2 linked regions of the Coturnix japonica genome follow. The protein of the gene in region 1 purifies or fractionates together with the protein of each later gene. This does not show direct contact. Links are inferred from orthologs where the notes say so. Each region holds a gene or a part of one and is shown in the gene's direction. Other genes may lie near its edges.

The links.
Region 2: the proteins of LRP5 (region 1) and AXIN1 purify together in Homo sapiens (affinity purification with western blotting; 3 studies listed by BioGRID). This does not show direct contact. The link is inferred for Coturnix japonica from reciprocal best matches to the Homo sapiens genes LRP5 and AXIN1.

What each region holds. Positions count from the first base shown.
Region 1 is NC_029520.1:8,241,397-8,256,831, reverse strand, and holds the end of LRP5 (low-density lipoprotein receptor-related protein 5), read left to right. Parts: coding exon 1-55; intron 56-1,594; coding exon 1,595-1,720; intron 1,721-3,309; coding exon 3,310-3,546; intron 3,547-4,262; coding exon 4,263-4,373; intron 4,374-5,859; coding exon 5,860-6,105; intron 6,106-7,222; coding exon 7,223-7,362; intron 7,363-8,150; coding exon 8,151-8,248; intron 8,249-8,883; coding exon 8,884-9,145; 3' UTR 9,146-14,123; downstream 14,124-15,435. UniProt on the Homo sapiens protein: Acts as a coreceptor with members of the frizzled family of seven-transmembrane spanning receptors to transduce signal by Wnt proteins.
Region 2 is NC_029529.1:10,800,363-10,814,967, forward strand, and holds the end of AXIN1 (axin-1), read left to right. Parts: intron 1-968; coding exon 969-1,145; intron 1,146-1,937; coding exon 1,938-2,183; intron 2,184-6,617; coding exon 6,618-6,785; intron 6,786-7,271; coding exon 7,272-7,398; 3' UTR 7,399-7,724; downstream 7,725-14,605. Other genes in the region: PDIA2 (protein disulfide-isomerase A2), read right to left, coding at 9,963-10,037, 10,153-10,239, 10,341-10,522, 10,661-10,781, 10,856-11,050, 11,126-11,251, 11,326-11,442, 11,507-11,644 and 3 more; ARHGDIG (rho GDP-dissociation inhibitor 3), read right to left, coding at 13,259-13,458, 13,535-13,598, 13,835-13,911, 14,018-14,101. UniProt on the Homo sapiens protein: Component of the beta-catenin destruction complex required for regulating CTNNB1 levels through phosphorylation and ubiquitination, and modulating Wnt-signaling.

The sequences.
Region 1 (15,435 bases):
ATTGCGCACCTAACAGGCATTCATGCTGTGGAGGAACTTGATATGGAGGAATTCTGTGAGTTTCTTCAACTACCTGATGTTTTTCACTCTTGGTCTCTGTCTCAAGCTCCTCATCCAGCTGTGTGTTTAAGTATTATTGGCTTTAAGTTAGGCCATGGATTGCTTTCAACTTTGGGGGCTGGACTCTAATAGAGGAGGAGAAACAAGTTTCTCAGTCCAGAGAAGGCCTTTTTGCCCAGCTAGAATATGCGATTTCACAGCACTTAGTTACCTGCTTTGTACCAGCTCACATGGTAGTGAATTAACTCTAAAAGCTGTTTGGAAACAATTAATGATTGCTAATTTTTAAAGTACAACCAAGTAAGTGAGTTGGAAATACCTTTATAAAGATAGAAAAAGGAACAGTGCCTGCCTTTTCTCGTGGGGTTTCAGATCTGTTTGTGAATCATGACTGGTTTGACTCAGCATGACTGATGGTATGAAAGCCTTCAGTAAGGGAAGGAGAATGGGCAGCGTGCTCTGAAATCCTGCCTTTGTGGATGTGGAATTTCTCCTTGAATGGAAGTTGAGCCATTTTAGGTGCTCCATTCTGAAAGAGGTTGGTCACGTTGGACCTTGTTTTTCTGGCTTGCTTGACTCAGTTCCTGTGCTCTGTTAAACTTCAAACATTATGTGTAGCATTATCCTGTAGTGGGTACCTGGGAGACAGGAGAAGCCTTCATCTGTCCTCATGCTGCCTCCTTCAAGGAAATAGGCCAATAAGGTCGCTACCTCAGGATACACTGCTGTTGCAGGGAGAGAAGCAGTGAACTCTTCCAGATGAACCCTGTCTTTCATATTTCTCTCCCTTCACAGCACTCTGAACACAGAGTGAAGAAACCTGGGAAGAGGAACATCTTTACTTTATTTGGGCAGTAGTCAGTAAAGTTTTTCCCTTCTACCCATGTTCCACCTTGCCCTGTGGAAAGATGGAGGAGTACAAGACTACAGTATGGCAGAGTAAGGGAATGCAGGTCTGAGGTCTGGAGAGGAGTAATGCTTCCAGCATGTGAAGGGTTGGGGGTAGAAGTCTTATACAGGGAGGATGCAGTTAAGTGCAAACTTGCCTACAGGGGTAAACTGTTGGAAGGAAGGCAGCGTATTTAAGCTGTAGCTGATTCTATTTGCTAATCCTTAACCAGGTGTTCTTTTTTCTTTCACAACACTCAGTTTTTCTTCTTGTGTGCCATTTCTCTTACTTTAGTGCATTTCAGAGGTAGCACATAATGATGGAAAAACAACTTTTCTTTAAGTCTCAACACTGTTCATAAGAAAAAAGGGAGAGAGGGGGCTTTATATCCCACATGGTTTTAAGAAAGTTTATTTTATTATGGCAAGGGTAATGTTTCTTTGGGGTTGCACTGAAAGGACACACTTTCTTACATCTGAAATCTGTTACAACAGGAGAGTAAAAGTAAACATGTGCGTGTACATGAGGGCACTTTGCAACCCGTGCTTCAAACAGTAACATCTCCAACACTATGTTAAATTGTTTTTTTTTTAATTGAATTTTTTTTTAACACCACCCAGTCATTCTTTCTGTGTGCTTCTCCAGCTGCACATCCATGCTCCCGTGACAATGGTGGATGCTCACATATCTGCATTGCCAAAGGGGATGGGACTCCAAGATGTTCGTGCCCAGAGCACCTTGTGCTCCTGCAGAATCTCTTAACGTGCGGAGGTGAGTTGTGTTTAACAGCACTGCTAAGTGGTTTACAATGGGGAAAAAAAAATTAAGAATCACTGGAATATCAAATTTGGTCTATGACGTGCTGCTGGGTTTTGAGAACTGTCTATCTGGATGATGGTATTTTCAAAAACAACTGAATGAAGTCAGAATGGCCAAAATCAAATAGTTACTATTGCAAGAAAGTTGCCTGCCAAGGTGCTTGACTTCCATGTGATACAAAATTATATGAACTTCCTGCAGGAGTTTGCATCTGAATCCAGAATGTGGAGTTCTTCATTATTGTATGATGTGACAGTTTGTGCCATAAATGAATGTATATAACAGTGTTGATAAGCCATGATGATCTGGCAGTTGAATCTGTATGTATGATTCCTGCAGTACTCCAGCTTTTCAAATAACATAGTAACGTAACACACCATGCTGTCTAGTTAATGACAGAGGTTCAAAACCTCAGTTGCAGTTCTTATTAATTAAAGTAACTGTTGTCTTTCCTCATGGTAGGCATTCCCTTTACAATTCCCTTTCACAGCCCCAGGTATTTTGATATTTGTTACCTTACTATTGCAGAGGGCATTAAAAATGGGGGAAAAAATACTTATTTTTTGGGAGATATCCAATGTTAAATTATTTGGCTCTTTTGGTCCTCTGGGCTTTTTTTTTTTTTTTTTAATGTATTCATTTTGCTGTGGATTTCATTTTTCTGGCTGAGCTCTGACCTCCCGTGGGACAGTCCTTTCCATTATAAACTGTTTTCTTTCCCATGACCACAACACACTATGTGGTTGTAGAGTAGTGGAGGTTACATCTGCAGTTGGAAAAATAAAACATATTTCTTAATCTACTTCTGTTGAAAAACGTGGCCAGTGAGAGATTCTTCTGTTCCACTGCTCTGTTGTCTTCCCCTGTAAGCCTTAAAATTAAGGGGCCTCTTGCAGTCTCTGCTTCTTATTTATTTGTTTTCATTCTCATCCTTCACTGAGGTTGCAACAGCTTTTGTAATCTGTCTTGCCTGCAGTAGTAGTAGCTCATAAGCAAGTATTTCAGAGTTGGTTGACAGAGCCATTTTGGTTGGAGAACATTTTGTTCATATATTCTCGTGAACACACTTGACAAGGTTTTAAATGCAAATTCGTGGCTCTAGATGCACAAGTAGAAATCTGTCTGCCGAATTATCTAAACAGTACACTGCTGCCCAAACTAATGTCAGAATTACATTGATGCATCCATCTGGCATCCTTCCCTTATCTACAGCTGCCAGGTCACTGGATAGGTTTGTAAACCTCAGTATTGCTACGCCCAGTAATCATAACTCAGAAACTTGGAAACCATAGGAATGTCAAAAATTAAACGTATGGATTTTTACTTGGCATATTTGTTTTTGAAGCACTTGATTTTACTTGAGTCTCATTCTTAAACATTTCTCCTTAATGAAGGACAACAGCACTTCAAAAACAGTTTGTATTTTTACAGAATAACTTCAGTCCGGGCATACACAACTTTTTCTCCATCACATTTGCACTCTGTTGATAGGGCTAAAATTGATTGAACGCACAAGTGTTTTTTGTTTTCTCTTTCTGCAGAACCTCCAACTTGTTCCCCAGACCAGTTTACCTGTGCAACTGGAGAGATTGACTGTATCCCAATGGCGTGGCGGTGTGATGGATTCCCAGAGTGTGATGACCAGAGCGACGAGGATAGTTGCCCAATATGCTCTGCATCTCAGTTCCAGTGTGAGAAAGGACAATGTATTGATGCACATCTGAGGTGTAATGGAGAAATTGACTGCCAAGATAAATCTGATGAAGTGGATTGTGATAGTAAGAATCATGTTCTTCTCTTGGCTCTGACATAAGCACCTATTTGGGATTCTGTCTGTTTTGATACACATTCATGATTTTTGGTTTCAAATGGGCAAGAACGGCCTTAGTTTGGCAGTCTGGCAGAACTGTCCACTTGATTCTGCTTTTTTCTACAAAGTGAACCTTCGAGGGCTGCTGATTACTAGCCCTCATAAGACAGTCTCTTTTCTGATGATTTAATATAGTTTGAATTCACATAGAATTTGAAATCAGTTAACAAGACCATTTTACTGAAGCAGGGGCTTGTGGTTATAGATAAGAATATAACAGAGCTGTATTTGATAGAATGATATAAGGTAGTATAGACTATGTAAGATATGACTATATCTTCAGATACCTCATGTTTTAAGATGTCAGGCAATCAGTTACACCCATTTAGTTACTGTAGGAGGTCCTTTCTGATTTGCTTTCAGTTTTGCCTCAGCTGAACAAAAATGTGGTGTTTCAGAATTTTATATCATTCTCAATAAGTAGAATGTGTAATGGTACAAAGCAAGAATGAGAAAAGTGCTGACTGAATTTAAGCTACTGCAGCAAAACAGGTGTTCTGGTGCCTGCCTGTTTATAATTTAAAGTGCATTGTGGCTCGGCATATCTGACATCTTTTGGTTTTCTTAAGATTGTTGAACAGTGCCATGCAAGTCATACTGAATCTTCTCTTTCTTTCTGTGCAGCCATTTGTCTGCTCAATCAATTCCGATGTGCCAGTGGGCAGTGCATCCTCCTGAAGCAACAGTGCGACTCCTTTCCGGATTGCATTGATGGCTCAGATGAGCTCATGTGTGGTGAGATGTCTTTGCTTGAGACCAAGTGCTTAGTTTTCAGGTCTAACACCTTACAGCTGAATGCAAAGCTCCAGTCTTTACATAGGGAAGCCTGATGAATCTCAGCCCTGTACTAACTAGGTCAAATTAGTTTCTTCCTTCTATCTTCTAGGTGGGTTTCATGAGCAAGAGTGCTGAAAATAGCCGGGGTGGCAAAGAGAGAAAAGGCTAAAAGAATCAGAACTAGAGGATCTGTTTAGCTCTCCTTTTGTAGATCTCAGATTGCACGTGCTTCTTCTGATCCTCCCACATATCCCGTTTCTCACAGCCCTCACTCGGTTCCCCCCAGTTCCTTGGATACTGTGGAGCCACTTTTTCTTTCACTTTTATTTTTCAATTATTTTCTTTGTGCACTTGGCAAAAGTTTTGTGGTGCCAAGTTAATGCAAACGTTTCCTGCTTGCACTTTGGGTCTAGTCCTGCAATTAGGACTTAACTGATTTAAATGGGTTTTTATGTAGACATAAGACTGCCTCTTCTGAAGTTTCTTTGTGGAACAGAGCATTCTGTGGTTTCTTGATTGACTGAGGGAAAGTCAAGTAGGAAATAAAAATGATTGCTACTTTCAGGATGAAGGTCTTGCATGTAGAAGAAGCTAGGTTTAACCAAAATGAGAGTTTTGTGGTTTAAACTGGCTAATTCAAGAATCTGTTTTAGTTCTGGGTTTGCCTTCTTTCTGGTATCGTATCGGAGTTAATGTGCTTATTTAAAGGTTAAGTCCTTGGCTGACCTATGAGCTGTCATGCACTAATAAGAAAGACAGAAATGAATTCTTGATGTTGAACTGCTAAAAGTTCATTGATACTTCTTTACATTTCCTTTGTCTTCCTTCTCAGCTTTCAGTTCTTTTACATTCCCTTCAGCTGAAGGGCAAGAATTTAGAATGTAGTCAGTGGGAGAATGATACGTATCAAATCTCAAGTACTGCAAGACTTTTTATTATTTAACACTGGGCTATATGGGTGAAAAAGAAATTAGTAGTAGAAAGTATTTGAGATATTCTGGTTGTGTGTTTTTATTCCAATCTGTAAGGTTCTTAATAGTCACTAAGAATACTTTTACATCCTAAAATGTCACCTCTTAAGAGCTTTTAGCTAGGAAGACATCCACTGCTCCATGCATTCTGTAGCTTGCCTACCAGTCAGATCTTAGAAACAAAATCCTACTGGCTGTTGTTATATCAAGATGACAAGTAATCCTCTTACAAGGTGAATTGCTAGACAGAAAGAAGAATACATTGCTGTTACTGCTTTATTTACATGTAGGGATAGAAGTCTCATGCATAGAATCAGAATCTATGTAGCAAGAGATGGCTGAGTTTAGATGCAGTGACTTTCAAAGACATGATGTAAATGACTGTGCTGACTTATGTACTATGCAATATCCAGGATAGCATGATATATATTGCCATATTTAATGACATCCTTTTGTTTCTCCCCTTTTTCCAGAAAAATCAAAGCCATCCTCAGATGAACCTCAGCCCCACAGCAGTGCCATTGGTCCCGTCATTGGAATAATACTTTCCCTTTTTGTCATGGGAGGAATGTACTTCGTTTGCCAGCGAGTAGTGTGTCAGCGCTACGCCGGGCCCAACAGTCCCTTTCCACATGAGTATGTCAGTGGCACGCCTCACGTCCCTCTTAATTTTATTGCGCCAGGAAGTTCTCAGCATGGCACTTTTACTGGTAAGGATGGTAAGAACCCTAATAAGCACCATTACATTGTCTGGATTTGAGGTTCTGCAGGTTATTAAGAGCTGACTGTTGCCTGAGGTGTAATGAAAACATCCCCTTTGGTTTAGTCCATCTCTGAGACAGATTTCCTGTTTGCTTTTGGACAATGTGTTTGTTCTCTCTCTGTCTCAGGCCTTCATCTCTAAAGAAGCAGAATTTCTCTACCTTGCCAAGTAATCAAAACATCCGTCCAGAGAACTGTGTGCAGATAATAAGTTGAGACTGAAGGAGAATGTTGTTATTTCTTTCTAATTTGGCTGCCATAGATTTTCATGGCTCGTTATTGCTGTGACAGTGACAGTCTGACCACTGATGTTAATTCTAATGAGAAGACGTATGTTGAAGCGCGGTGCTTCAGAAAAGTGATTGGTCATGAACAGTGGTCACAAAGAGAATCATCCTGCTTTTCCTAAGTATTTCCCAAGGCTGAAACATTTCTGAAAGCTTCTGAGCTCAGCTCTTCCGTTGGCACTGAATATTTTGGTGGGAAGAATGAGAATATGATTTAAGTTAAAAAAAAATAGGACTGTGTTGTTTTCCCCTTTTTCTGCCACCCAGGCATCCTTCCTTTTTTCAGTTTAAAAAAGTGGGGTTTTTTTTCCAGTAAGAGTATATATATATTTCCTTGCTCTTGTTCTTGTACTTGCAATTGAATTTCATTGGATGGAAATGAAAACTTCGGATGTCTCTGGCTTGTTTCTCTTGGGCAGTGTATAGTGCTTATTTTTGCAAATACTCAAGTCTGTTTAGATGGAAAATTTCTTCGTTAGCAATTTGGGTGGAAAATTTGGATCAACTGATCTGGAGATTCCTTTCTCAGCGGACTGAGAGCACTCCTTTGTGAGGAGCTGCAGGGTCACAATAGGTGGTCTGGGGGTGAGGTGTTTGCTTTACATAATATAAAATTGAAAATATGTTGTTCTTTGTAATCCTGAAGCTTTTATGTAGAAGATCATTCCAAAAGCAACAACCAGTAGAGTTACGTGGATTTGCCAAGCTCTGGATTTGTTTTCTGGTTTGCATTAATAGATGAAACTGTGGTTTACCTAACCTTGGATTCCTCTCTGTCTCACTGCAGGAATCTCTTGTGGAAAGTCTATGATGAGCTCCATGAGCCTCATGGGAGGGAGCAGTGGTGCCCCCTTATATGACAGAAACCATGTTACTGGAGCCTCTTCTAGTAGCTCATCCAGCACTAAAGCCACTTTCTACCCACAGGTATGTCTTGAACATAAGGCTGTGACTCAGATATTGGAATTCAGCAGAGCTCCTCATTTAATTTTCTCTCGTGCTTCACCAGAATCTGTGTAACTTGATGTACAATTTCATGCTAGCACCCAGTTGTTGCATCAGTGCCACAGTAAAGGGATGAAGAGAAAAAGTGTAGGTGGATTTATTAAAAAAAATAAATTCTTAGTTAAATGAATCTTAAAAGACAAAAGTAGCCCAGGAGCTGATCTGCCTGTACCATTATGTTTTGATATTTCTATTGGCCAAACTCTTCCACTGGGGGTACAAGCCTAAACTAAACTCTTACTTGGAATTCTTCTACCCTTCCAATTCAGTGCTATGTGAGCCAGGACCTGCAGGGACAAAATGTCTGCCTTCAGAAAGAGTGCCATGCCAGATTATAATACAGAAGTTGTTGTGAGGGCTTTGCTATCTTAAAGTTACTGCTGACCCAACTGTCAGTTCTTCCTGGTAGCTTTGTGTTTACCCAGCTTTACGTTAACTACAAAAAGAAGCAGTCTGAGCAATCTAAATGTCTTGGCTTTGCACCTGCTGCCCTGTATTTGTTTTAATAAATCCAAACCCAAAATAAGGTCTCTTAATTAACTCATATGATCTTAAAAAAAAATAAAAAAATAAGCATCAATCCGCCCAAGCAGCAATGAGAGGAATAGCAGATAATGTCAAGTGACTCACTGAAGGAGTAAATTATATTTTCAAAATAAGCAGAGTTGTGCAATTAACTCAAACTGAAATACTGATTTTAATCTTCCTAGATCTTGAACCCGCCTCCGTCCCCAGCTACCGATCGCTCCCTGTATAATGCAGAGATGTTTTATTCTTCAAACATTCCTTCAACCACAAGATCTTACAGGTACAGCTCAGATAAAAAGGTTTGATACACATTCCATTGGTCTGTCCTTTACTTTTGCATCTTAAACAGAACGTTCTCGTTTAGACCTTTCCCTTGATTTAAAAAAAAGAAAAAAAAGGGGAAAAAAAACCCATCAAACTTTGCCTCTCTTAATAAATGACCATTCAAATTGAGATTATGCTATTTGTGACCCATAAGTGTTAGCTTTGTTTCTTATTTTGATGCAACAGGGTGTATCTGCGCATTTATATTTATATTGCTTTGTAGTGGCCACTTGGCATCCTGTGAGGAGGGTTTGGTCTGGTCTGCTCTGATGGGTTTAACTTATTTGTTAGTTCTTGGGACCAAACTAAGTGGTCACGTTGGTCTTCTCTGCTGCCCAAACCTATGGATGTACCACCAGGTCAGAAGCTGGCAAAATGCACTGCGAGCTCCAGGTTGCTGTGCCATTCAGTTGTAACACAGTTCAAATACTTCTCATTTGGCTCCCATGAAAACCTGAGCTACAGCTGATATAGAATGAAGCAACATCTGACATCTTGACTGTGGACGTAGGCATTCGTTTTCAATGTCTTTGTTTCCCTTTTTCAAAAATCACAACTAATGCGTGTGCTTTTTATTTTGTTACCTCGCAGGCCTTACCTTATACGAGGGACAGCTCCACCCACAACCCCGTGCAGCACAGATGTTTGTGACAGTGACTATACCACTAGTCGATGGAAAGCCAACAAGTACTATATAGATTTAAACTCAGACTCAGACCCTTACCCCCCTCCACCCACACCTCGCAGCCAGTACATGTCGGCAGAAGAAAGTTGCCCTCCATCTCCTGCCACAGAACGAAGCTATTTTCACCTATACCCACCTCCACCCTCTCCTTGTACAGACTCCTCATGACCTCAACAGAAGGAACTTTCCCTGTAAATATTTTTAAATATGAACAGATTTTAAATATATATTTTATGATTTAAAAGATAAAAAGGGGTGGGAATTAAAAAGGAAAAAAAAAAAAGAAAAAGAAAAAGAAATGTGAATAAAAACGGGTGGGAGGGATGGGGCTGTGAAAATTGTACAAAGGAAGAATATTTATAAAATTGATTTTTTTAACTTAAATTCCCTTCTTTTGTGCCATATTTGCCTTTTTGAAATCACGGAACTGACTTATTCCCCAAAGGATTTGGGGAGGCAATGTTGAGCCTTTTTGCATTTCAAACCACCTTTTTACACGCAAAGTGTATGCAATTCTTTTTACAAATGTGAGAAAAGAAAGTGAAATGGCTTGTGGAAGGAGGAGGCTAAAGACCAATATTCACAGAGAAGAAAAACGTGCTTAAATAGTTTGTCAGTCTCTCATCCCTTGTACATCACTGGGAGAAAACATGCAAAGTGTACCACTGTCATAAGCTCCTGTTTGCCAGTGAGCTGAGTGCTTCCCAGCAGAACCTGTGTCTTGAGACCTGGATTTTGAATCCCGGTCTACATTTGCTCAGCACTGAACTGGAAAAACACCTATTTTAACCAAGTCTTTCAAATCGGCTGTTCACACAGGCATGGTGTCCTGACTCACACAAGTACCGTACTGTGTACTGGTTCTGGAACTGATAGGAGCTAGAAACATACCCAGATTTCAAATGCTTGGTTGAACTACAGTCAGTTCCCACTTTGAGTGCATGATAGTAGAAGTTGTAATGGCCTGCCAGTGAGAGCAAGGGGCTCTTAACAAGAGAAATGCCTGACAAACTGCAGCTTTGCTCAGGTTCACCATTTTAATTTGAATGAAACCGGGTTCTTTCCTCCTTGTCTAGCATCTACTTCCTTGTGAGGCTTTGGTGACTTCTCAAAATACAGTGGTGCCTCACCTTTCACCCCGAAGTTTGGTAATTCCTCTGTTCTGGGTCTTTGAGATGTTTACCCATGTTGAATTCAACAGTGAATTGCTTCACCTCCAGTGTTCATTTCCCAAAGCGGGACAATACAGTGGCTTGTGTTTGAAGTGATGAAAGTTGTTTGTTTGTTTGTAGGACATGTTGAGCTCAAAACCAAAACATCTGCCATTCATGCAGTTTAGTCATGTCATCAAAATTTGCCACCAAGTTAGTCTAGATTTAAGTACGTTAAAAGCATGGGGCGGAAGGAGAGAAGGCAAATACATCCGATTGTATTAAAAGAAAGAAGCTGCAACAAACTACTGTATCCTTGGGACACCATAATCAGTGAAGTGCTCCTGCTTCTAGCTCAGGCCAAACCCTTTTGTGAAAGGGAGGCTGGGATAAGAGCCTTTCACAGCACAGAAGATAGATTTTTGCTTTGATTCATCTCCTGTTGTAACAAAGGGATTTGGGTATTGAATGGCAGTTTTCACCTCTGTCAGTGATGATGTGTGTGCCTACCTGGGATATCTGAGGGAAAATCTGAATATGCAGAGCTGCACCTGTTTCTGCAGCTGCTGAATTAACACGTGGTGACTCTTTGACAGCCTTAATATTGTTGGCAACAACAAGAGGTTTTTCCTTTTTGAACTTTAAATTATGTTTGGGTCGGTGTTTTTTGAACAAAAGACGCCTAGGACTCCAAGGGCAAAGGTTGTTGCAGTGGTGGGGCTAGGACCATGGAGTTCCAATCCAGTCTGTGTTGACAGATTTGTTAGTGCAGGTCTGTTCTTCCTGTGTTGTTAAAGGACAATATTGGTGCTGTCATTGTTGCATTACTGGAACTGTTCAAGTAGATTTCAGTACCTTCATGGCTAAATTTTTGCTTCTGAGTTTCGCGTTTGGCACAAATATGATGCCCACCATTTCCTGTGGAGAAAAATAGAGAACTGGAGAATCCAGCACTGGAGTTTAAGAATGGATTCTCTTCCCCCATCCCTTGCCAAAGTTTGCAGTTAACACCATACATTGTTTTATGCGTAACTGTTGGTCGTTTGTAATGAATGTATTCATTGTTTCATGTTACAGTTCTAGTACAGAGCCATACCATACTAATATTCCTGTGTTCCTGTGATGACACTGAATGCAAGATTACTTTTTTTTCCCCCTTTCCTTAAACCACTGATGGTTTCAAAGAGCTGCCACTGTAGCAATCCCAACCACTTTGTCTTATTCTCCTCTTATAAAGTTTGGAGTTGAGTGCAAGAAAATTAGCTGAGAGTCAGGCTGACTTAAGGACCAATGGAACTTGACCCCTAAGTACTCAGAAGGAAGCGAGCACTTGCTGAATGGAATGGATTAAGCATGTGTGCTAATTGTATTTCAATTGGATGTTCGGAACCTCTTGCTGCTGATGTTTGCTGAGCAATCACTTCATCTGAGGCGCTTCAGGTTTTGTGATCAGAATGCAGGTTCCACGCTGCTCCATGGAACTGACTTGAAAAGCCTCTCCTGAAGAGAACTTGTAAGCAAATATGTAGCATCTAAGGATTTAAAGAATAAAATATTGCTTTTTGTTGCCGTAGGCTGTCTAATCTAAAAGATCTGTGCACTCCTGCTGTCAAAAAAGACCGTATATTTGAGAGAGAAGAGCTGCTTTTCTCCAGAAATATCCCCTGGTGTGTTTTTAGTGAAGTATGTTTTCCATCCTGTGAACCTTCAGGCTAAAACTTTTAAAACAGATGCTTGCTGCTTCTAGATCAGGATGAGGGAAAGTGCTGGGTGGAATTATTGAAGGTGTGTGGCAAGTTGTAGCAGTGCAGGGCTGAGCGGGAAATAAGAAGGGAAAAGTTATGTTTTGCTGAGGTTCAGGTGTGGTTCTGTTAGTGCAGAAGGGTGCTATGAGAAAGGCTTGAGGTATCCTGGTGTGTCCTAGGAGTTCTGCACCAAGAACCTGCAGGGGGCTGCAAGTGGTTGGACTTTCCATGTGAGCATCTGAGTACTTGAATCAGTTTACTGAAGTATTTTCAGAGCCCATTACGACTGTATATTAGCACTTTAAAGCAGCTTGGGGTGGAGAATGGAGCTGTGTCTGTATAGCAGCTAGTAATGGGCAAATGAACTGGGTGATTCTGTGTTACATCTAAGGGCAGATTTCAGAGCAGAGAGCTGTTTCTTTGCCTTCTGGTGCAGTCACAAAGGCAGCTATGAGGGTCATCTTCTCTCTGTTGAATTTATTCTGTCTGTGCAACAAATGCAGTAGCAATGTGAAGCTGTAAGGTAAATGGGCAGACTTAAAAATCATGATCATCATTGGCAAGGTATCCTTTGATTTCAAGCACAGAGTTGGTGTGAATTTGAAACTCTGAAGTGTCTGTGCATGGCAGCAGTCGCTAAGGGCTGGCCATGCTGTGCTGAGCTACCAGTGACCTGGGCGTTCACCCTCTGCCTGTAGGGTCAAATCCTTTTGCTACAGAGAGCTCTGGGGCTGTTCTGCATCAGAGCCTGTGGAGTGCATTGTAGTACATTACGAGTGTGCTCGGTCAGACTTGACAACGTTGTGTGCCCCGTGTGCTCTGTGCATTATCAGAAGCAGATCTTTTCTGATGTCAGTCATTTTGTTGGAGTATGTGTTGAGTCAGTCCAAATGAGTAGCTGTGCTTATAATTGTACAACAAGTGATACCCATTAATGTCAGGAAATGAAAACAGAAGGCAGGCATGTTCCCAGTAATTAATAACACGCAGGAGTGCCTGGCACGGAGCCCTGAATTAGAAATAATGTATTTGTTGCTACGGTGCTGAGGGACGTTTTGCAAACTTCCATGTTTGGGCTGAGCCTCGGACAAGCCATAATCCAACATGACAGACATTTACAGAACGGTTATTCAGTTGTTTCTGTTTAATAATGAGTGCACTATAAATGATGAGTGCAGTCCTCTCCACAAGTTTCAAAGTGCCTGCTGTTCTGTTAGTGTTCCTTTACATACTGCAACGCTTTTGTCATTAAATAGAAAATACCCTTTCTTTGACTATCGGGAGTTCAACTGAGCAGCTTTAAGGTGTTTCCCACGTGTTAAAAGTATCATTAATATACATAGGTATTTTCATTCCCATTCCCAAGAACATGTACTGAAGGGGTTTTGTAAAGGGTATTCTGCTCTACTTTGTGTATTTTGCTGTTGGCCAACTATGCTGTGGATCTGCTCATGTTAGATCATGCTCCTGGGCAGGGGGAGGAGAAACAGATTTAAATCAGTGTTAAACCTACTGATAAGAATGATGGAAACCAAGCTTATACAAATGGCTTCTTCATCCTGCAACCAAGTTCCTCCGATGCTGTGTCCCACCTCTGCAATACTCCCAGCTGCCCATGGCTGTAAGACACCACAACCGGGCTGTCCCCAGCGCCTGAGAAGGCAGGAGCCACATACAGAGCCAGCACAGAATCCTGCTGGATAGAAGATGACGGAAACAATTCCTAAACAGGACACTTGACACCAATGAAATATGTGCAGAGAACACGCCTTGAAAGAGAAGAAAATCAAGTCTCATAGCTACAGAGATGGACCAGCTCACCAGCATTTATGTCTGTTCAACGAGTGCCCCTATGGATGTACCTTAATCTGACTGATGCTCCCAGGGAAGCTGTGTCCAATGAAGGCCACCATGTCCCACTTGTATTTGTACAGAGATCCTGCAATGTGTAAACGAGAGCAGAAGTATCTTAATTGCACCCACGAATGCAGCAGTCATAAATGGTATTAATCAGCCTGCAGAGGTCAGAACAAAAGCTGTGGAAAAGTACTTTGCTGTTGGATGTGAGATTTGGAGGGCATCATTGACTAAACTCTAACCCAGACAGCTTTTTTACTTATCTAATTGTATTGTAATTGCTGCTATTTGTAAATGTACCTGAATATACAAAGATTACCAAGATTTTTTATGGTAAACACACGCAATCTTTTTTATGTTTATATTAAAACGTGTATTCTGCAAACAACCTAATAATAACAGCTTTATATGTGTATCATTTTGTAGGATCTGTTACTACAAAGGACAACCAAACCTAGTACTGAAGTGCCTTCTGTGTTTAAGCAGCTCAGACATTGACTGGGGAACAAATTAAAGCTTTAAATGACAGAAGCCCCACGAATCCTATGTTGAGTGCACTCTAATGATTCTGAGTAAACACAGTGTTTGGTTCTCCTCAGCTCAAATGCGTCCACAAGTAGTGGAACTGAAACAGACAGCTGAGGGGTTTTTAGGGCGTGCATATCTTGAGTTTGTAATATATTGGGGTTTGTCTCAAATGCATTATTCCAGGTGGACATTCATTTCCATCTTTGTTTTGGCAGCAATTTGAAAGCGTTAAACACGAGTTATTAAAGAAGTGCCAACAGGTGACGCTTTAGTATTTGGGGATTTCATTGACGTTATTTTCAGATTGTCATTACAGTATTTTTTGTGAAAGCCATTTGCCGTGTTTCAGGTCTTTACCAGTTGTTTTCCAAAGGTGGCCTTTAAGATACAAACGAACCTGGTTGGAACTGTCATAAGGTTTCTTTGAGGCTTTCATCACTTCAGACCATTATACACTAACAGTTTTCTGGTCACGAAACCACGATTCTTGGTGTTAACAAAAGTGCAGTTGTTGGAAATAACTGCTATTTTGTATAAAGATTTGTAAAGATAAGAGTGTGCCTTTGTACAATAGATTCTGTGGATTTGGTTTTTATAATAAATATATTTTAAATATTTGATTAGGAGTCCTTGTGGGCAGTGATATTTCAGCATCTGCAACAGAGGCAACCAGCCGGTGGCACAGTGGTATCAGGCCCTGTTTGCTAACAACAGTGCTGCTGTCTCCTCGTTTTTACTTTAAAATATAGCAGCAAGAGCAAGGAGGTGAAGAGGTTAATTGGAAAGCTGCATGTCTTTAGAGTTATGACTGTAAGCAAGCTATCCAGCTTACCACAACTTTGTCAGCATCATTACCCTGTCAAATCCATTGCAATTTGTTTTGATAACTGCTGTGGTTTTGCTATACCGGGTCAGGTCAGTATTTTTTTTTCTTCCTTTTCAATGTATTATATGTTTTAAATCATCTCCTTAGGAGACAAAACCAAATTTGTGACTAAAGACTCTGTTTTTTTCAGGTGGGCATACTCGAGAACTAGCTTTGCTGAGTCTAGTTTGGTCTTACATTCCTGCAGTCAGTACAGATAATCTCAGGTGCGTGAAGTCAAAACAACCTTTGTCTTTTCCTAACTGTGAAGTCAAAATAGTCCTTACCCATCTTCCTGTTACATTCACACGA
Region 2 (14,605 bases), on another chromosome or scaffold:
AAAGGAAATGTCAGAGGGTGCATTCAGAGCTGTCCTTTCTTTAGCACAAACTCCCAGTTCCTGATTCTCCCCAGGGTAGGAGCCTCGTAAGAGAAGAGTTCACATCTGAACAGTCTTGTTCTTTTTTCTGTCAGTGCTAATGAGCATACAGAAGTAAAGCAGGTGGGTGATCAGGATGCGGGGGTGGCCGGTAAAACTGCTGGCTATGGCAATGACAGGCCAGCACTGTGCAGCCCCATGAGCATGTAGGTGCCTGGCTGCACTGCTGGGCAAATGGGCAGCACGTTGCCAAGGAGGGATGGGATAATTGTAGTGATGTGCTATAGCCATAAACATAGCCAGGGCCTTTCCATAACTGCCTGGTTTCAATCTAGCTGTAGTCTGATGGGACTGTATTACCCAGGTTGGTGACAGCCTGCAGAAGGCATTATAAATGTTTAAGTACAACATGAAGCCTCAGTTCAAGTGGTGGTGAGAAACAAGTGCTTGGCATGGCAGAACGGCAGGAGGGGGTTTGGGGTGCTAGTGAACCTGTAAGCAAGTGTGAGGATGGCACAGGAAGGGCTCTGAGTAAGAGCAGTGATCTGACACGGAGAGGCAGCCAATGGATTGCAGCACCAGGCTGATCCTCGTGCTCTGAGCCTGTTAATCATGTTGGAGCAGAGAACTGAGGGTTGAACACAATCCTTTATGTGGCAGGAGATCTGCTGGGCTTTTTTGCTGCATTGCCGTGGCTTGTTTGCCAGATGCATTCCCTGTTTTGCATGTGGGACAGGGAGCCTGATGTGCCTCAGGCTAACCAACCTTGCCCTGAGCCTTAGCCATGGCACAGTTGGTTGAGCTGTAGTAGAACCAAGCAGACCCTGGCAGGGCTGAATGTGTCCAAGAGAGACGTGTCCATCCTCTGCCACTGTCTGTGGAGGTTTGGCTTAGGCAAAGCGCTAATGTCTCAAGCTTTGTTCTTGCAGTGGGAAAGCAAGTCTGCTCTCAAAAAGAAATATTAAGAAGACCGATTCAGGGAAAAGTGATGGTGCCAACTATGAGATGCCAGGATCTCCTGAAGACGTGGAGAGAAACCAGAAGATCCTTCAGTGGATCATAGAAGGAGAGAAGGAGATCAGCAGGCATAAGAAAACAAACCATGGGTAAGGGCTGGTAGAGTGAGGAGTCTTCATGCTGTCCTATTGTATCCCCTGCGTAAGGCACATATAGGCTGTGCAGTGGTCTGCCTTGTTCCTGGAGGTCTTGGGAAGACAAGCATCCACCAGGCACAAGGGTTAAGGTCCTTTGGAGACTGAGGATTGCTTGGGAGCTTTAAGCATAAAATTCATTTACTTTCCTGAAGAATGAATTGTGGTGGTGGGAGGAGGTTGAAGCCTCAGAGGAATCTCACAAATTGCTGCTGTGGGTACAGAATGGATAATGAGGCACACAGTAGGCAGTATTTTTGCTTTAGGCACTTTCTGTACATAAACAGCTGTCAGTTGTGCAAAGTGTTGATAGAAATGTAGGTCCTGCTGCACTGAAGCCATTGGTCCAGAGTTAGCAGTTTAAGAGGGCTCAGGTAAGGAGAACTGGGTTGCCCAGCGTTTGGGCTTGTTGAGAGCATCCTCTGGACAGTTTTTTGCCTTGTTTCACAATAGTAGCTGAGATAAGTTGCTCTGCAGGCAGCTGGGGCCGTGCCAGAGCCATGGGCAGTGCCGCAGGGGCTGGCAAGGATGAGCACAGTGCTGCAACATCCACTGCCCATCAGTGGCTCACAGCCTGGCAGTGCACATCAGGGCGTCTTCTGGCGGATCCTGCTGAACAAATTTGATCCATCATTGAGCTGCCTTCTGCTGGGTTTGTTTCTATTGTGCATTTCATGGTATCATCTGGACGTGCACGTGTGCAGAGTGACTCAGCAGCCTGTGTAAAACCTTTGTATTTGTGTGTAGCTCTTCAGGTGCTAAGAAGCAGCTGTCCCACGACATGGTCCGACCCCTCTCCATTGAGCGGCCTGTTGCAGTGCATCCGTGGGTCAGTGCCCAGCTCCGGAACGTCGTCCAGCCTTCACATCCTTTCATCCAAGATCCTACCATGCCACCCAACCCAGCACCCAACCCACTCACCCAGTTGGAAGAAGCTCGCAGGAGGTTGGAGGAGGAGGAAAAGAGAGCTGGAAAACTCCCACTGAAACAAAGGTATGGCCATGGGGTCTGAGTATGCATGGGAGAAAAGGGGGGAGGCTGCTCTGTGACTGGGGAGCCATGGGAGGTGCTGTGCTCCAGTTTCCAGCACTAACTGAGTGGAGGCACCTGCAGAGAGGTCAGGGAAGCCTCCTCATTCTCTCTGACATGGCTTCTGACAGGCAAATGCCACAAGCTGCCTTAAGGCCTGGGCTTGAGTTTTGTGGATTGGAAGTCTGGAAATGTTCTGAATGAGCCTGGGCAGGTGGAGCCTGTTTAGAAATAGCATGAGAGGGAAGAGCGCTCTTTGTAGAACTAGTCAGCGTCCGGTTTGCTGTACTCACCTCATCTTCACCAGCACACTCGTGGTTCGTTCACACACTGGTTGCAGAGTTCTTGGTTGGTGCAGTGGCAAAATTCAGCAGAATGCAGCAAAATTAAGTGCAGAAGAATATGTATGTGCTCTTTATCTACATCTCATTCAATCTTCCAGCAAAGGAAGCTTGTGGCAGCTCAGGGGGAGCGCTGCACACTGCTGCAGCAGTATTGTTCTCTGCATGCCTGTATCCAAGTCACTGCAGCTTCCTGTGACTCAGCTCAATGCCTGTTGCAGAGCTAATTCTTCTGCTCCCGTATTATCTTTCAGGGAGGATTAGTTGCAAGGCACACAGAGCTCTCAGATGAAAAACATTTTGGAAGTGCTTGATAATTACTGTTAAGAACTAAAAGCACTTTGACCATTAAAAACCTTTCACAATGGGAATTGCTTGTAGTCACTTCATTGCTTTATAGCTGTGTTCTGAAAACTCTAAACTTTGGAGTCTGACATTCAGAAACATGAGTGTAATTTAAAGAACAAGCTCCTCTAATTGCTGAGCTGCAATTATTTGTGCTTGCAGTGGTCATGTAGCAGACTTCTGCATATTTATATCAGAGCATTGATTGGAAGCTAAATAATTAGAGGGCTCTCCCACGTCGGCTTGGGCCAGGCTTATTTGATCTAACTTTCACTTGGTGTAATTGGATAAGGTTTATTTGTGGAGTCATTTATAGTCATATTAAATTCATACACCTTCCCAAGAAACGTCTAGGTGCAGATGCACACTTGGGAAACACCAGCCTGGGCTTTATGCATGTGTCTTGAATACTCTAATAACAACTTGGCAGCTTTTGTAGAAACCCCATGGCGTTGTGGTATGTGCCCTTCAGACCAGCAGGAGAACAGGCTGAGCCACGCTGGGCCGTTCTGCTTTCACACTTGTGCTGCCTCCTCACAGTGTTTGAGGCTGGGCCATTGATCTTTGGGAGCCTATGCAAGCTGAAGTGTCCAGTGCTGGCTGACCTGACCTCTTGTGCCCATTGTGTTGGTGGAGAGCCTTGTCCCGGTGGTTGCTTGCCTGTGCAGTCAGTTTTTGAGCCATTTTCTGTAGCTCACTGTCACAGTGCACATACGTTTCCAGCTGGAAGAAGTAATTAGTAGCAGCTCTGCAGAGAAGAGATTTTCGTAAGCAGCAAAAGAATTTTCTAGTCTCTCCAGCAAAAATGTTAGCGTGAGCTTGGTTTGGAATTAGTTTGATTGGGCCAGGCCTGGAAGAGGAGCAGAGCTGGATGCTGGGACACCTCCTGAGGTAACATCTGCTGGCTGTATTTCAGGCTTTCCACAGCTCTTTGGCCCCAGGGCTGGGATGGAGCAAACCTCCCCTGTGCTGGGCATGGCAGCATCACAGCTGGGCTGTGTCTGTGCTCTGACACAGGCTGAGTTAGTGCTGGTCATAGAACCATAGAATCACAGCATGGTTGGGTTGGAAGAGACCTTACAGCCCCCCCCCCAGTCCCACCCCTGCCATGATCTGGCTGCCTCCCCAGCTCAAGGCTCCTTGGGCAGGGTAAGGTGCAGTAAGGCAGTCAGCACTGCATTTATCTTGCTGGGTAACATTTCCTGCTTGTGACAAACTTTGCAAAGGGAGCTGAGGCCAGAAGAAGGAACAGAGAGTTAATTGTGTGTGTTCATGGAGAGGGTACACTGCAGACCCAGGGGATGGGTGCAGATGGAGGCTCCAATGAGGCAGGGTTCAGGCGTGCTGTGATGGAGCAGCACACTCAGCAGGGGCCCATCTGGGTTAGAAGTGGCCTCGGGAGGTTTCTGTGCGATGATGGCAGCAGAGATGGTTGTGTTGTCATGTTCTCAGGGGAGGAATGTCTGGAAAACTGTGTTGTCAATGATTCCTTATTCATCATCCCTGCTTCAGTTTGCTAGAGATCTGGGGACGTGTGTGTATTCTGTGATGCTTTAAAGGGTGATGTTCCTTCCTGCAAGGAGGCACCAAACCTTTGGCTCTTGTCCCATCACTGGTGGCCTCCTGGGGTCCTGTCAGAAAGAACCAGGCGGCTCTTTCTCCCTCACATGCTTTCCAGAAGCCACACGGTCCCCACAGCCCCTTTCTGAGCCTGGGGAAGAGGAGCACAGCAGCCAGTCTGAGGTGGCTGCAAAGCAGCTTTTCAGGCACAAATTACACAGTGGGAGGAGGAAGGCTCCCAGCCATTGGCACAATCCTGCTCTGGCTTTATCATGGCAGAGCTGGGGAGCTCGAGGTGTTGGTTGTGACAGTCCTGCCTGCCCCCCCAGTGACCAAGGAGCTGCCCTCCAGCAGCCTAAGCACCATGCTGCATGCACAGCGTGTGTCATTGCATCCCCACCAGCCTCCGTGCCAGCTCCCCTGGGCACCAGCAGCTCTCTCATAGTCATGACTCGTTTCCAGCAGCATTAAGAGAAGCTGAGGGACTCTGAGGTTTTCCAAACCCCTTCAATTAACTCCTGGCTCACAGGATACACAGAATTTGCCTGAATTTATGACCCGTTTTTCCTTTAAACACATGATTTTATTTTTTATTTTTTCCAGAGGATGATTCAATTCCTTAATGTTTTTCTGCCTAAAGGGCATCCTGTGCTTTGATACAGGGATGGCTTCTAAGAGCTGTGCTGGCACAAGGAGCTCCATCACCTCTTGGGATGCTGCAGTTTCTCCAATGGTCTCCAGAGCAGAGCAGGCACCAGGAGCATTATGAGCTGAACTTTAGACCTCTCATGGCTTTAGAAAGAGGTGACAGAGTTCTCCCTGGTCTTGGTTTGCAGTGCCAATGTTATTGTGGACGTGCCATTACAAAGGTGCTGTGACTGTATTTAAAGGTTGAGGTCACAGCCATTTCCAACACTGCCATTAGCTCATGTGCTTGGCGTATTCTGCTCTTATAGCAACTTTCCAGTCCTATAAATACAAAATCATCCTTTTTTTTTTCTCCTTTTTTTTCCCTTTTACCCCGTGTGCCTTTTAAATGATTTTAAAGCTGCCAAATCTGTTTTATGTGATTCTGAAAGAGAAGGCTGCCTCTGGCTGAGACCACACATGCCAAGCAACGCATTTGTGTAGGCTGCTCAAATGTTTGTGCAGCATTTACAGCGCCCCAGATGAAAGGCTCCACACAAGTGCAAAGTGCCCTTATTTTGATTGTTGCTACTTTTGTCTGACTCTGAAAATGAGGCGAGGACTGGACACTTTCAATCTGGTGATGGCACCAAGTAGCAAATGCCAGTGTGTGGGCTGGAGGGAAGGAGCAGACCGACATCCCGACAGGCAGGAAGGTGTGAGAGGTTCCAGGTCTGCTCACTGGAGGTTTGAGGATGGTGTCTGCCTTCCAAAATCCAGCCTGCAGCCCAGCCAGGCCTTGCATGATGGAGCAAGACAGGATGGGGTGAGCAGCAAAGCACACAGGGTTTGGCACATCCCAGAGCTGCACATGAGAACTCCAAATGCTTCACAAAGGGAGTTGCTAGCTGATATGGATGGCACTTTCTTCTCCTTGTCTATGATATGAAGGCTTCTCCTGCAGACTGAGCCCTGGGAGCCATCACCGAAGCACTGCTTGTACTGAGGTCCAGGTAGCAAGCCTTGAAGCCTGAAGCCCAAGCACAGTGGTGCACACCGGTGGTGACACTGGTTGGCTGCAGTGGGTGTGTGATGCTCTGCCTTGCTCTGCCTAAACCAATTGCTCTCAGAGTTCAGTGCTGCAGGAAAGCCACTTCAAAGCCTGTCCCTGGGATGGGTTTCTGCAGCATGAAGGGGCTGAGCTGGAACCTGTGCCCTGTTCCTCCTATCTATGAGCTGGCCTCCATCCAGCCTTTCTAAGTGCTGTTCACCAGCCTGAGTGCACAGATGTATGCCAAGAAAGGTGGTCAGAGTAAAAGATGTTTCCTGAGGGCCCTGAGTGTTACTTTGGCACCTCCATACAGAAAGGCTCCAGTTCTCTGCAGATAAATGAAGGTCTGGACCTGCATCCCCTGCCTGGGCAGCCCCTCACCCCAACCAGCACCCAGTGCTGCCGATGATGCTGAGTCTGTGCCAAGCACCATAGGCCGATACTCAGGACATTGCTTGTGATTTTGTACAACAGGTTGAAGCCCCAGAAGAGACCAGGCAGCGGAGCATCCCAGCCATGTGAGAACATCGTGGTCGCTTATTACTTCTGTGGAGAGCCCATCCCATATCGCACCCTCGTCAAAGGGCGCGTGGTGACACTGGGACAGTTCAAGGAGCTGCTGACCAAGAAAGGGAACTACAGGTAAGGGCTGTTTGCCACTTGCAGTGTGGTGCCAGCAGACTGTCAGCACCCCCTGGCAGCTGCTACCACCAGGATGTTGATCCTGTCAAGGCAAAGGAGGTAGGTCAGGGGAGCTACTGGGGTTCTCAGCAGCCTTGCAGGGTTGTGGCAGCATCTGGTTGCCAGTGGACATTCCTTTCACTTAGAAAAGTAAGTCCCAAAGTGAGCCAGGAATGTGCTTTTTAAATAAGGGTAGAACTCAGACTTGCATCTGGAGTCCTACCTCCAGAAATATCCTGCATCACAGTTTGCTTCTCAACATGCCTGCTTGCATTCTGACTACCCTCACTAGGAGAGGGCAGGGGTGGATGCCAGCCTCCATGTCTGCTGGGGCTGCTCCCATTCATCATGAGCTCACAGCCACAGCTGCCCCCCATGTTTGGGTATCACTGTGATGTCCCACGTGGCCCTTAACCCCTCTGTGTCCCCGTGTTCCTTCCCTTTCAGGTATTACTTTAAGAAAGTGAGTGATGAGTTTGACTGCGGTGTGGTCTTCGAGGAGGTGCGGGAGGACGACACCATCCTGCCCATCTTCGAAGAGAAGATCATTGGGAAGGTGGAGAAGATCGATTAGGCTCCAAGGCTGCAGGAAAGGACTGTGAAAGACTCTGGGACTGGAGGAGAAGGTCTGGGGCAGACGCTGGCGGTGCTACTCCAGGAGGTGCTGGGCGAGCCCACGGTGCAGCCCACTCTGTGCCAGGACCTGGGCAAGCTCTGTTGTGCCATGGGAAGTCGTTTCACCCCCACAAACCTGCCAGTGGGAGCCTGGGCTCCCTCTCCATACGGAATATAAGTGTAATGTAGCATTGTACAGTGCATTAGAAAGTGTAAAATGAACTTGTTTACTAAAGCTGCATATTTTTGATATATTGTAATAAAAGGAAAATATTTCCAATGTCACAGTGCTCTTATGTAAATGTAAAAACACGCAGGTACTGCAGAACGCACCCAAAGTGTACAGCCATCCATCAGACTCCGTGTGGTCCTCGCTTTCACAGCCCCCCTTCCCTGCCCCCTCAGTGTGGATGGCTCTGAGCAATGCTGGGCTGGGGTGCACCCAGCCGACAAGCTGCTGTCCCTGCTGCTGTGGAAGTCACTGCTGCACTCCAGAGTGGCCCCCACTGAAGATTATTGAGCCACTCTGAACGAGTTGAGCTCTCGCCTCCCTGGCAGTCGCAGCTATTGGACCTGGTAGGGGTGGTTTTCCTCCTGAGCTTTCTTGTGACCAAGTGAATCCCCAAGGGAAAGGGAGGGTGGGTGCCAGTTCTTGGTGCTGCAGGCTTCCTGTGGTGCCTTCCACCAGGGCAGGGCTGTGGGCCACCAGTGAGGGTCAGCTGCTGCTCAGCACTGCGGGGCTGGACACTGGCATCCCATGCCCTGTGCTTGTCCCCCACATGTGCCTGCTCTTGGGGCAGACGTTCCCTCCTGGAGGTTGCTGCAGCCCCAATGAAGGGCTGGCAGCTGTGTGCAGACCCCAGTGCCAAGGCTGGGCTTTGCTCAGGGGTGTTGCCTTAGGAGAGGGGTAGTTCAGGGAGGAAACCAATGAGACACTTCCAGTCTGAGGACAGAAACCATCGTGTTATGAATCCGGTGTCTTCTGTCAGGTTCTGTCTCTGGGGAAGCAGTGTGAGGGGTCTGAAGCCAGCAGCAAAGGAGTTGAGGGGCTGTTGTACAGCCAGGTCCCCCAAATGCTGCAGTCACTGTAAGGGGCAACTACTGGGGTGCAGATGGGTCTGATCTCAGCTCCACCTGCCCTCAGCCCTGCCCTTCCCACCAGCCCAGGCTGTGCTCTGTGCCCCAGCAGCCGCAGCCCTGCACCAGCCATTGGGCAAACCCTGTGCCCGCAGCTCCAGCTCCTCGGGGGTCCCACATCAGCACTCACCCTGCCTGCCCACATGCCCCATTGCTCACTGCTGTTGCAGCACTGGGGCACAACCCGGCTGCCTGCAGGCGGTTCGCAGTAGCTGGGTGACAACTCAGCCTCTTGTACAGCGTCACGTGCCTTTAAACACGGTTCTGTGACTTGCCTACCACTATGTGAAGTCCAGCAAAATCTGCAATCGTTTTCAACCAGGGAACAGTGTTACGAGCGTCTTTTCCTCCCTCTTTTTTAAGTTCTGCTGGTGTTGTGTCTGGTGAGGTTGTTGCCATGCCTGGGATTTCCGTCTCCCCCTTATTTTTCTCAGGGGGTTCCCTGTAAATATGTACATTTGCTGAGCGCAGCATCCTCCAGCGGCCGTGCAGCCCTGCTGGTGTCTCCTGTGCATCCTCATGTGCTGACTTGTACAATGATCTTTTCAAAGGTACTTGGATAAAATGAAATAAAGCCCCACATCCCGGTGCCTTCTGGTTTCTTCCTTCCCCGCGGAGCAGACGTGGGAGTGGGTTGAGAATGGGAGCAGACAGAAGGGCTCTGCTTTGACCCAGGGCCATGGGCACACAAATGGGGCTGCCCACAGGGTGGGCATGGGGGTCCCAGAGCCATTGCTTATGGCTGGAGAGCAGCAGCTCAGGGGGGAGGGGATGGTGCTGGGGACTGAGACTGTGAGCCAGGCATTGGAAAGGCTCCAGAGGGCTCTTTAGAGCCCAATTTGGGGCTACTCCTGCCTTTCCAGGGTGTGAAAGCAGCTGCTGGGACTGGAGCCCTGGGGCAGCTCTGCATTATTGCAGCCCAGGTGTGAGGCAGGAGGCCTTGGGGCCATGAAGCTGAAAGCCTTCTGTGGTTCCTTCATCCCCGAAACCCTGACAGCCCCATGCCTGGGGCAGCACAAGGGCCAACCTGGGCTGCCTGCAGCACTCTGACACTGCAGGGACAGAAGGACGAGAATCACAGCGTGCCCAGGGCTGTGTTGGGTCCAGCATCACAGGAAGGCAAAGGCAGCACCCCCTCCATGGGAATGCTCAGTGCCATGGGTGCCTGAGGCCAAGCTGACCATGGGACCGACTGCCCTGCACACCCCAGTGGGCTCAACCCCCATCGAGGCACCCACCAGCTGCACTGTGTCCCCAGGAGGCCAAGCAGGCAGCATTCAGTGCCATGTGCCCCATGACATGGCTGTCAGCTGCATCCCACAGACACAGACAGAGCCCGCATCATTTCCAGGGTCATTTATAATGCCCACTGCAGCAGGACAGGACTCACAGCTCCTCCCGGGCTTCGGCTGTGCCAGATGAGCTCGGTGACTCTGTGCTGTTCTCTGGGGCCATGGACACCTGCAGAAGGTGATGGTGAGGCAGGGATGGACGTGTCCTGTCTCCATCCCACGTGTCCTGCAGGGTCTGTGCCCTGGGTGGCAGCCCCTGCCCAGGGATGGGGCACCTCTCTCACCGTGGGTGGCTCCTCCGGCAGCTTCCCTCCATTCTCCAGGAACTTGGAGAAGGTCTCCACGTCTCGAGCACTCCGATATTCAACCATCTGGAGCCGGGGGACAGGAGGAGGACACAGGGTGACATCTGAGCCTGACCTTCCCCAGGTGCTGGCAGTGCCAGGGATTCCCCACACCTGTCCCTGCCCACCTTCCTGCCCGGCCCAGCAGGGAAGTAGTGCAGTGTTGGGTATCCGCTGATGGTGATGTTCTCCAGCTCGTTGGCTGTGGCATCCATCTCAGCAATGACAATGTCCTCGTGGTCCTTGTAGCGCTCGCCCAGCTCCTCCCAGGCAGCCGCCATCTCCTGGCAGTGGGTGCACCACGGAGCATCTGTGTGACGGGCACAGGGCTGGAGGTCACAGCCAGGCTGGGGGCACCGGGGGTAGGCGAGGGGTGGGGATGCAGGAGAGGTCATGGAGAGGGGCTCAGCCCCACGATGCAGCTCAGGAACAGGACTTCAGCACTTACAGAACTTCACAAAGACGTTCTTGGTCTCATCAAATGCCACCTGCTCAAAGGTCTTCCCCACCAGCACTTTAACGGGCCGCGTGTTCCAGTCCTCGGGGGGCTCTGCACTCAGCAGCTGGGGCTGTGGGGACAGCAGGGATGTCCTGCTGGGACCTGTTTGGGGCCAGGTTCAGATCCAGGCTCCCATCTGCTCACCTTCACCTTCCCGTCCAGCACTGCCCGCACAAAGTCGCGTATGGCCGTGGCTGAGAAGGCGTCTGCCTCCATGCGGTACTTGCGGTTGTTCTCCATCTTGATGAGGCGCAGTGTGGGCGCATCACTGGGATTCAGACCAAAGAAGTGCAAAACAGAGGCACCGTACCCGTCCACATCCACCACCACGAAGAGCACCTGGAGGGGGAGATGGGCAGTGCTGAGGCTGTGGTCCCCCAGGTCCCATCCTTGCTTGCCATGGGATCACCTCACCTCACCCCGGAAGGCGCTGGCGGCCGCACGGAACTCATCCCGCAGTGCCTGCTGCTCGGCTACAGAGGTGTTGAGGAAGAGCAGCATGTGGTTGGGGATCTTGGCCCCAAAGATCTGTCCGGAGGTCTGTAAGGGAGGAGGAGGGTGAGAGGCTGGGCACCCTGCAGCCACACCAGGGCTGGGGAGGGCAGCAGCCGAACCTCATTCAAGAAGTCCATCACCAACTGCAGGCTGTGCACGCGGAGCAGCCGCGTCATCTCGGCCACATTCAGGCCCTGCTCCGGGTCCACGGGGAAATCCGTCCTCTCCTCATCGAACTGCCAGGTGTGGGACAGTGAGCACCAGGCCCCGCCGCAGCCCCACCACCCCAACCCCACTCACCTTCTTGAAGAGGCAGACGGTGTCGGCCGACAGCCCGTACGCCTTGAACAGCTCATCCGCCTCGGCCACTCCGAACACCACCTCCACCACCTCCTCAGCCACCTCATAGAACGCCCGCGCCGCCGCACTGTGCAGGTCCTGCATGGTTCCACCATCAGCACCGCCATTCCAACAGCACAGCACAGCCCTGCCCGGCCCCAGCCCACCTTGAAGAAGCCCACGGCCGCGATGTCCTGCGCTCTGATGAAGGCGGCAGCGGTGTCGGCATCATGCAGCAGCGTGGCGCTGGGCCCGGCCCGGCGCTGCATCCACAGCACCATGCCCTCGGCGTCCATGCGGCCTGAGCACGGAGCGGGGTTGCCACTGCCACTACGGCCATCACAGCCACCACCCCAATGCGTGCCACCACCACCCCTGGGCACATCACCACCAGCACCTGCTGCTGTCAGGATGCCATCACCCCTTCACCATCACCCTCCCACCCACCCCATGCCCCCGCAGTGCCCCCGCGCAGCCCTACCGCTGTAGGCCACAGGGTGGGTGCGATTGCCGTCACGGAACAGTTTGAGCGTGGGGAAGGCCTGGATGTGGAACTCAGAGCTCAGGTTTGTCTGCGTCACGGCGTCCACCTTGCCCAGCCGCGCCACCTCCGATCCGTTCCTCAGCAATGCGGCCGCACGGGCGAACTCAGGGGCCAGGCGGCGACAGTGCCCACACCACGGAGCGTCTGTGCAGGGCCCGGGGTCAGCACAGCACGGCCAAGGGGGGTGTCCCCAACCCTGGGGTGTCCCCAGCCCAGAGGTGAGGCTGAGGGCACCTAATGGCACATGTGAGCCGCCATGACCCATGTCTCATATCCTTCTGCCATAAGGTTCGCATCCCTGCTGTGCACCCCACCCTAGGACCCTGCCCTCCCTCCCTGCTCCACCTCTCAAGCCCAGAACCCCTCTGCCGACCCCTGTCCTTCAGGCCCTCACGTTGCATCTCACACCCCCCAGCCCTGCTCTGCCCCCCACCTTCCCCACGGGCACTCACAGAACTCCACCAGCAGCAGCCGGTGCTCGCGCAGGGCACGGGCGAAGTTGTGCTCATGGAGCACCAGGACACCATCCTCCTCCTCCAGCTCATCCGACAGCACCTCATCCTCTTCATCCCCCTCCTCCTCTTCGGTCGCCATCACCTCCCCATCCTCCTCCCCACCCTCAGCCCCCCACACCCGCCCCAGCCAGGCCAGTGACAGCAGTAGCACCCACAGCACCGCGCCGCCCCGCATGGCGCCGTCCCACTGCCAAAGCCTTCGCAAGGGGAGAGGGGCAGATAAGGGCAGTGGGGCGGGAGGTGCTGGGCCGTGGGAGCTCGTGGCCCTCCGCTACTGGCTGCCAGCACAGAGATAAGGCAGGGAGCAGGTGGCGGATTTCCAGACACACGTCCCCACAGCGGGACAGGGCCAGGGGACACGGACACGGCATAAGAGACACGTCTGTAGGGTTTAATGGCGATGGAGGAGCGGAGCCCGCGGCTGGGCTCAGCTCATTGCAGTGCACAGCGATGGAGGTGCCGCGAGGACGAGTCGGGCGTCGGTATCAAAAAAAAACGGCGATTAAAAATAACTTTGGTTGCCAAGACCACGACCGCGGGCGCCCGCTTTGCTAAGGGACCCCCCCACCTTCCCATCGGTGGGGCGGCGCGGGCGGCAAGGGGTCCCCGGGCGGCAGGGGGGGGATCCCCGCAATGGTGGGACCTGGGGGGGTCTCAGTCCTCCCAGCCCTTCCGTATGCACAGCCCCCACTCCCAGGCCAGGTGCTCCGTCTTGTCGTCGTCAGTGACCAGCGAGCGCACGCGGTAGGAGCCACGCGCCAGCCGACCCCGCGGCACCTCCTCGGCCGGTGTCACCACCTCGTACTCCTCAGCCCTCGGCGCGTAGCTGCCCACCATGAAGACATCACGGTCCACTGGGTGAGAGGGTGAGAGGGGTTTGGGTGAGCAGGGCGGGGGGTTCTGCCCCATCCCACCCCTGACCCCACTCACCCGGCCGGCCACAGCGATATGTCAGGTGCCGACACTTCAGCCCGCAGACGATCTCCCTGTTCACCTGCGGGGCACAAAGGGGCTGTGAGCGGCTGCGCATGGTGGGCTGGGAGGGACACCCACCCTACAGCCACCACAACGCACTGCCATGCGGATCCTGATGGGCACTGAGCAGGGCCAAGGGTGGCACGTGGCCTGGTGGTGGCAGTGATGCAGTGTGGGTCCTCAGGTGGACAGGGACCCCCAGAGAGGCACAGAGCCCTCAGGTGGATGTCAGGTGCCCACGGAGCAGGGCCTTACCTTGAAGGACACCTTCACCCTGTAGTCCACCCCCTCCTTCAGCACGAAGGGACGGCTCTGCAGCACCTCCAGGTCTCCTGTGGGGGGCAGATGGCCCCGTCAGCATGGCACCCATCAGCATGGCACCCATCCTCCTCCTCTTCCTCCTCCTCCCTTCCGCCACCGAGGACCCGCAGCACTCACCTGTCAGGTCCATGGTGATGGGCCCCGGCGCCTGCTCACACATCAGGGTCAGCTTTGTCACCTGCACGTTGGGCACGTTGGCATCTGGAGACAAGTGATGCAACGTGGCCCTTACCCATGGGGTTGGCACCTCAGGCCACAGAGCAGGAGGGTTGGGGGCTCCTGGGGAGGATGACCATGTGCCCCAATGGGCCGCACAGAGCAGCCAGAGGACAATGGGCTCCGTGCAACAGGGAACCTCAGCTCAGCCCAAACCCTTTGTGGATGAGCCCATGTTAAAAGCCCCGTGGCACAGCTCAGCCCACCAAGGCACAAGGGCAGCCCCTGGCTGTGGGGGGGGCTCAGCGCTGACATCCCCCCCGCGGCCGCTCGCTCCATCTCTGCCATCCCAATGAATTCCCCGGTCCCTCGTAACCGTTCCTATGGCAACTGCAGCGGTGATCCTGTAACCACAGCAACCGGGGTCCCCGGGCAGCGTTACCCACAGCAGGGGATGCCGGGGTCTCCCTGCATTGGGGTGGGCGCAGGCAGCGCCCGCGGGTGACGCATTAGGGCCATGCCCTCCCCATGGGGATGCCTCAGGGATGG